2 linked regions of the Oryctolagus cuniculus genome follow. Each later gene encodes a partner of the first gene's protein in a complex. Links are inferred from orthologs where the notes say so. Each region holds a gene or a part of one and is shown in the gene's direction. Other genes may lie near its edges.

Evidence for each region. The genes of interacting proteins can lie anywhere in the genome.
Region 2: POLR3C (region 1) and POLR3D share a complex: the UniProt entries of both Homo sapiens proteins name them as parts of the RNA polymerase III complex. The link is inferred for Oryctolagus cuniculus from reciprocal best matches to the Homo sapiens genes POLR3C and POLR3D.

What each region holds. Positions count from the first base shown.
Region 1 is NC_091438.1:49,048,815-49,052,357, reverse strand, and holds part of POLR3C (DNA-directed RNA polymerase III subunit RPC3), read left to right. Parts: intron 1-291; coding exon 292-372; intron 373-615; coding exon 616-667; intron 668-677; exon of another isoform or gene 678-740; intron 741-1,276; coding exon 1,277-1,337; intron 1,338-1,788; coding exon 1,789-1,939; intron 1,940-2,462; exon of another isoform or gene 2,463-2,515; intron 2,516-2,646; coding exon 2,647-2,748; intron 2,749-2,867; coding exon 2,868-2,917; intron 2,918-3,368; coding exon 3,369-3,518; intron 3,519-3,543. UniProt on the Homo sapiens protein: DNA-dependent RNA polymerase catalyzes the transcription of DNA into RNA using the four ribonucleoside triphosphates as substrates.
Region 2 is NC_091439.1:1,079,450-1,083,525, reverse strand, and holds the start of POLR3D (DNA-directed RNA polymerase III subunit RPC4), read left to right. Parts: upstream 1-1,264; 5' UTR 1,265-1,398; exon of another isoform or gene 1,399-1,440; intron 1,441-1,632; 5' UTR 1,633-1,637; coding exon 1,638-1,802; intron 1,803-2,926; coding exon 2,927-2,970; intron 2,971-4,076. UniProt on the Homo sapiens protein: DNA-dependent RNA polymerase catalyzes the transcription of DNA into RNA using the four ribonucleoside triphosphates as substrates.

The sequences.
Region 1 (3,543 bases):
TGACAGTATATGTAAAACTTGTTTTATGTCAGTATTTGTAGATCTGTCTCATGCATGTTTTCATCCTCATTCTTTGTGATGGCCGTATCATTTTCCACAGAGGGCTGAGATGGCCTTTATTGCTGTCAGTTCTTAGTACCAGACATTTGGATTGTTTCTCAGTTTTTGCTGTTACAAACAATGCTGCTGTGATTGTTTCCAGACATTTTTATATTTGTGACATCTAAAATTAAGACATCTCTGTTTCAATAATTCTAAGTTTCCAACCCACTTCCTCTTCTTCCCACATAGATCTTCAGATCCCTACCTGTTGGCTATAACATCTCTAAGCAAGTTCTTGATCAGTATCTCACTCTGCTGGCAGACGATCCAGTAAGTTTATTTTTGCTCCTCCCCCCACCTTTATTCTGCTCTATTTACAATTTATTTCTGCCACTGATACTGTGTATCATTCTCCTGTAGCCCCATTTTCTACCTAGGCAGCTCAGTGTCTCCACCATCATCTGATAGAAGGGCTATCTGCTGTAGACCCTTGGCTAGATTTGCTCCATTGGGAACAGAATCGCTAGACTTTCCATTCACTTAACACTCTCTTGTCTCTTTTTTTTTTAATAGCTAGAATTTGTTGGGAAGTCTGGCGACAGTGGTGGAGGAATGTATGTCATCAGTATCCTTACCAGCTATTTCCTTCGAGTCAGGCAGCCTGAACCATGAAGCAGAATGACAGCTTAGGAGAAAAGGATATGATAATGTTTAGTATACTGAATTGAAGTAATTTTCTATGAATTTTCAATGAACCACATTGATGATAAAGTAAAAAATACTTCTAAAAAATTTAGTTTATTTGAAAGAGAGACAGATATCTCCCATGTGCTGTTTCACTCCCCAGACACAACAACTGGGGCTCACTCAGGCTGAGGCCAGGAGCCCAGAACTGAATCCAGATCTTGTACGTGGTGGCAGGGACTCAACCACACGAGCCACCACTGCTGACTCCCAAGAACCACATCAGCAGGAAGCTAGAATCAGGAACAGAGCCGGGATTCGAACTCAGGCACTGCAACGTGGGCCACAGCTTCCCTACTGCTGCAGCAAATGCCTACCCCTGAAACGGACTTATCAGCAACCAAATTGCAATCACACCAGCCCCTTACTTAAACACAATCATCGGGTAATATTTTATAACGCTTATAGGCTAATAACATTTAAATTTTAACTTCAAGTTAGTGATGACCAGGCCAAACATTAGTGAGTGACCTTAATCCTCTACATAAAGACCTCCACAAGGCATTAGCATCCCTAGCCACAGCCACTTTGGAGTCCGTCGTACAGGAGAGGTAAGGGGTCACTCTGATTGGGATTGGGATGAGACCCTCCTTATCTATACCCCACTCAAACAAGCAATTTGGCCACTATGTAAACAGCTAATATATGCACACCTTGGTACACTTTGCTCCATTTTCCCACTGGACTGTTATGGATCCTTTCTTGTTTTACCGTGTGCCTTAGCAGATCTGTTTAGTTCCCAGTGATGCAGATTAACTAGCCTCCCTAAGCCTGTGGCACATGCAAGAACTGTGGCACTCACACAAGTCAACAGTTGGTGACTACCTTACTGTGATTAACAGTACCATCGCTGTGGAGTGATGTGGAGCTGTGAAAGGAATCCGTGATCACTGTTCCTCTCTGGTCTGCCGCACACATGGAAGAGAACAATCACCATCTGTGGTTAGGAGCTGAAGCTAATATGTGTTAGCATGCACAGTTGCTTTCTTCATTCCTTTCCAGGTTTGGATCTCGCTGTGCCAGAATATTCCGTCTAGTTTTGCAAAAGAAACACTTGGAGCAGAAGCAGGTAGAAGACTTTGCAATGATTCCTGCAAAGGAGGCAAAAGATATGCTTTATAAGATGCTGTCAGAAAATTTCATTTCACTCCAGGTAACCAATGGTGTAATCACTGCCAACCTGCAAAGCTGGCCTAGGGTGAGAAAAACTCCGAAACAAAAAATATCCTGAACCCTGAAACAAGCTCTGTACCCAGCTTAGAGACAGAAGAAGTGACTCATAAGACGTAGAAAGCACGTGAAGGATAATGTGGAGCTTTAGCTGGCCTGATAGGAAGAGTTACAGCCACGAAATCACCGGAAAGCTACCCTGCCCTCTCCTCATGACTTAAATGGATAATGGATTAGATCTGTTCACAGCATTTGGGGGTGCACACAGAGCCATGCAGGAGAGTCTGTGAAGAAGCAGAAAGAACAGCTTTTGGAGTCAGATCACAGCTTAGCCTCTGCCCCAGTTACACTGAGCAAGTTACCTACCGTCATGTTTCCCATCTCTAACATGCTGATGGGCGAGGGTAGTAGGATAATGTCACCTGCTAGAAGGATCAGCTGCAACCTCCCCGGCACATGGCGCTGCTCAGTAAATGTCAGTTACCTTCCCTCTCTTTGCCACTTAGAATGCTGGAGGTGAAATGGACAGCACGCGACTAGCCACGCACCAGGAACACAGGTGCTGAGTGGCAGGGGACTGCCGAGCGTGCGAGGGAAAGGCGGGCTAGGCGGCTCCGGGCAGCAGTGCTTCTGCAGTGCCAGCTGTGAAGCGTGCTGTGGTTCCTCTCATTTTTCCCTCTTGATAAACAGGAAATCCCCAAAACGCCAGACCACGCCCCCTCCAGGACCTTCTACTTATACACTGTGAACGTGCTCTCAGCTGCCCGAATGTTACTGCACAGGTGCTACAAGGTAACCCCACTGCACCAGCTCCCCGTCCCCTCCCCCAGACATGGCTCACCCATAGGCCCCTGATCCCAGCTTACCTGTGCTACTTAACAGAGTTGTGTGCTTTTCTTCTCTTTCCTCAGAGCATAGCCAATTTGATAGAAAGGAGGCAGTTTGAAACCAAAGAGAACAAGTGAGTAGCATTTTCAGTTGAGTCATTCACATTGTTCAAGCAAAGGCCTGAGGGGAAGTTTCCAGTAGAAATGGAAGCCAACAGAGACAATAACAGTCTACAGCAATAGAGACAATAGCCAGTCTATAGCAATAGAGACAGTAACCAGTCTGTAGCGTTGAATTGTTGGCTAATGTGGGCATGCATCGTGCATTAACCTACACTTTCCTGATAGACCTCCGATGACATAATTTCGCAAGTTAAATTTATGAGAAACATACAACAGCACCAAACTGAGGGGAAGTGAGGGACAGTAAGCGTTTCAGGAGTCAAGTTACATACCCAGTGCAATGTGTAGAAGAGCAGCCTTGACCAGGAATGTGGTAAAGGGGGAAGCGGGAGCTGTTCCTCAGAGACGAGGGGTAAGAGAATCCCCGGTGTTGGGAACTCGCCTCAGAGTTGTGTCTAACAGGCGTCTACTAGAGAAGTCCCAGAGGGTGGAAGCCATCATCGCGTCTATGCAGGCTACCGGCGCCGAGGCGGCACAGCTGCAGGAGATCGAGGAGATGATCACAGCTCCTGAGCGGCAGCAGCTGGAGACCCTGAAACGTAACGTCAACAAGTGAGTCTGGAAAACTGCAGGCCCT
Region 2 (4,076 bases), on another chromosome or scaffold:
ATGGATGGAAGACATCTCTCTCTCTCCTTCTCTCTCTGTATTAACTCTTTCAAATAAATAAATGTCTTAAAAAAAAAAAAAGAAAGAAAGAAATGTACATCTTTCTGCTTGTTATCCGAAGTGGAAATCTCTCCCAGGGGAATAATTCAAAAGAAGAAAAAAGTTTAACACACCATATGTTCACTATGTATGTTGCTTAAAAAAAAAAAAAATCCAAATGTCCAAACAGGGAAACAGGTAAATCAAGATCCAGTCCCTGGGCTGGCATTCTGGCCCAGTGGGTAAAGGCGCTGCCTGCAGTGGGCGCCAGTTCAAGTCCCAGCTGCTCCACTTGTGATCCAGCTCCCTGCTAATGTGCCTGGGAAAGTGGTAGAAGATGGCCCAAATCCTTGGGCCCCTGCACCCACGTGGGAGATCCCAGCTTTGTGGCCAATTGGCAAGTGAACCAGCGGATGGAAGATTTCTCTAACTCTGCCTTACAAAAAAAAAAAAAAAAAAAAAAAAAAAAAAAAAAAAAAATTCCAGGCTGCTGCCTGTGATACCAGCATCCCACGAGGCCCAGGCTCCTTGCTTCTGCCTGGCCCAGCCCAGGGTGTTACAGTCATTTGGGATGGGAACCGAAGCCAGGAGCCGTAGGCAGGGCTCCCACGTGGGCGCAGGACCCCAGAACTCCGGCCATCCCCGAAGGACACTTTTCCCGTCAAATCACAAGGGCCAGAGTCACGACAGAAGCTGATCGGATCCGTCCCTCCCGCGGCAGAGCAGACTCGGTTTCCGTCTTCTCTCCAGGACCCGGGCGACCCTGAGCCCAGAACGGGGGACGGGGCAGCCGCTCCGGAGACGCCCCTGAGCCCACCCCGGACGCCCCGCCGCTGCCCCGCGGCAGTGACCGCCCCAAGGTCACCACACAGCGCCCGCAGCCGGGGCTGCCCGGGGCTGCAGCCGGGCCCCGCACTCCACCCCGACGCGCGACCCCACTGCTCCGAGCGGCTAAGTCGCGGCGAATTCCGCCCCCGTCCCCACTGCCCCGTGGGGTGGGGGTCGCCAAGGCGCTGCCTGGAGCTCGGCGCCCCCACCCCTGGCCCGAGGCCACGACCCACAAACGCCGCCCCGTAACGTAGCCCGGACCGGCCCCCCTCACCCCAGCTTTTTCGCCCTCTCAACCCAGCTTTTCCCGACTCCGGGAAGAACCGGGAAGAGAAGGCGGAGGGCAGCGAGACGCCGCCTCATAAATACTGTGGCCTAGCCCCGCCCCCAATCGTCACTTCCGCCCCGCGGCAAGATGGCGGCGCCCAGGCGCTGCCACGCAGACTTCCGCCCGGCGCGGAGACTAGGGGTCGGCGGCGAGTGGCGTCGGCTGTGAAGTGGGGACGCGCGGTTGCGGAGCCCCAGCGGCGTGTGCGTTCCTGCCTCGGGCCTGGCGGGGGGCTGGGAGGGCAGGTTAGAGCTAAGGGCTCCGGCCGGGGTGGTCCGGGGCGCCTCGCCACGTGGGAGGGGGAGGAGCCGAGACGCAGCCCGAGGGACGCGTCGGGGGCGGGTTGCAGGGGGAGCGGCCCGCCACGTGAGTGCGGTTCCGCCCCGGGTTCGCGGGTCCGTCTCCGCCGGTGACCGGGCGCCCGTTCTCTCTCTCAGGCAGCATGTCGGAAGGAAGCGCCGCGGGCGAGCCCGGCGCTCCGGGCACCCCCCGGCCCCTGCTCTCAGGGGCCCGGGGGCTCATCGGGCGGCGGCCTGCGCCCCCTCCCACGCCGGGCCGCCTTCCCTCCATCCGCTCCAGGGACCTCACTCTCGGGGGAGTCAAGAAGGTACCCGCCCGGCGCGTTTCTCAGGACACTCAGCTGTTTGGCACTCCAGGCTCCCAGATTCAGCAGATGCCCCTGTGTGGCTTGCTGTGTGCTGGGCGTGGTGTTGGGGCTCAGTCAAGTCTGGGTGCTGGCCACGAGCTGTTGAGGTGGTTTTCAGAGGATCGCGCCTGGTTCCAGACGTTCCAAAGAGCAGGGTTTACTTTCATTGTGCGTGCGTGTGTGTTGTAGAAAATGCTCTGTGTATTTGAAAGAGTGCTGGCATGCACCTGCTGGCTCACTCCCCAAATGGCCCCGATGGTCCGGACTGTTCCAGGCTGAAGTCAGGAGCCAGGAACTGCGTCTGGCCATCTTCTGGCTTCCCAGGTGCGTCAGAGGGAGCTGGATGGGAAGTGGAGCAGCCAGGACCCGAGCTGGCGCCCCAGTGTGATGCTGGCATTCCAGGCAGAGGCTTAACCCACTGCACCACAACACTGACCCGCTGACCCCTTAGTGTTTGTTTGGAGCCCCCTTTAAGAACCCTAAGATAGCCAGACAAGCACAAACGCCGCTGTCAGTTTTGAGAGGGTCCCAGAATCCTCTGGTAGATTCTGGGCATGGCATTGGGGCCCGGTGCCCTTTTCCACGTGACTGTGGCTGTGAGGAGCTCTCAGAGGGTTGGGGGTGACAGGGAATGAGACAGAGCAGACAGCAGCCAGTTTTGAAAGATTTACCTGTGTCTCGGGCCAGTCTGGTGCCAGTCTAACCATGTCCTCTGTGAGTGCTGGCAGATCTGTGTTCCCTGCCTGGGCCTTGAGCGAGAGCTGTGTGCCTGTGGTACTGATTGGCCCCCGTAGCAGACTGGAGATGAGAGACATCAGACAGGTTTCTTTGCATTTGGAGGTGCTGGTGGGGCTCTCAGAGGGCAGAAGCTGCTAGTTAGGATGGTGTCGGGTTCCCTGCTGCCCGTGTGACTGTGCTGCCGCCGTGGCAGGATGGCTCTCCTCGCCAGGCAGCTGTGTGTCTGTGTGAAGGTGTGATGACAGCGCAGTGTGTGCAGAGGGCCTCAGGGTGGGCTTGGTCCCCAGGAGATGCCCTTTGGGGGGTCAGAACGGATCAAGTCAGTGACTCTTGCATTTTGCTTTCAGAAAACTTTCACCCCAAATATCATCAGCCGGAAGATCAAGGAAGAGTAAGTAGCCTGAATACTTGCCCCTTGTTTCTTTGCACAGGCTGGGGCTGTGGGGGAAGTAACTAGCTTATGGCTCAGAAGTGTAAAAATTTGTGTGTCCATTCTTTGCACTGGTGATTTTTTTTTTTTTAAGATTCATTTATTTTACTTGAAAGAGTTACACAGAGAGAGGAGAGGCAGAGAGAGAGAGAGAGGTCTTCCATCCGATGGTTCACTCCCCAGTTTGGCTGCAACGGCCGGAACTGCGCTGATCCGTGCCAGGAGCCAGGAGCTTCTTCCAGGTCTCCCACACAGGTGCAAGCACCCAAGGACTTGGGCCATCCTCCACTGCCATTCCAGGCCATAGCAGAGAGCTGGATGGGAAGTGGAGCAGCTGGGGCTAGAACTGGTGCCCATAAGGGATGCTGGCACTTCAGGCCAGGTGTTAACCCGCTGTGCCACAGCACCGGCCTTGCACTGGTGATTGTTAACCCTGGCTTGCAAATGATTTTTTTTTTTAAAGATTGATTTATTTGAAAGGCAGAGTTACAGAGAGGGGGGTGGGGGTGGGTCTTCCATCCGCTAGTTCATTTCCCTCTAAATGGCCTCAGTGGCCAGTGTTGGGTCGGGCGGAAGCCAAGAGCTTCTTCCGGGTCTCCCATGTGGGTACAGGGACGCAAGTACCTGGGCCATCTTCTACTGCTTTCCCAACAATAGCAGGGAGCTGGATTGGAAGAGGAGCAGCTGGGACTCAAACTGGCGCCCATGTAGGATGCCAGGTGATTCTTAAAGTGCAGGCCTTCAAAAAATACAGATCCCCAATGCTGCATCTCTAGAAATTGTGATTGGACTAGTTTGCAGTGAAACAGAGTGATGCTATCTTGCAGCCAGAGTTGAAAGGCAACAGTTTAAATTTGGGGTGAGGAGTGTCCGGCTTGCAGGACATCTGTGGCCCACGAAATCTGGTGTGACCCTGCCAAGGCAGCCGTGGGCAGAACTCCCAATTCAGTTAACTCTCCGGGCAGCTAATGTAAGTTGATGACTGTGTATGGCCTGAGAATGATGTTGTAACTATCAGAATAGCCCGTGGCAGGAAGGAGGTCAGACAGATGTGACCACGCTTGCCT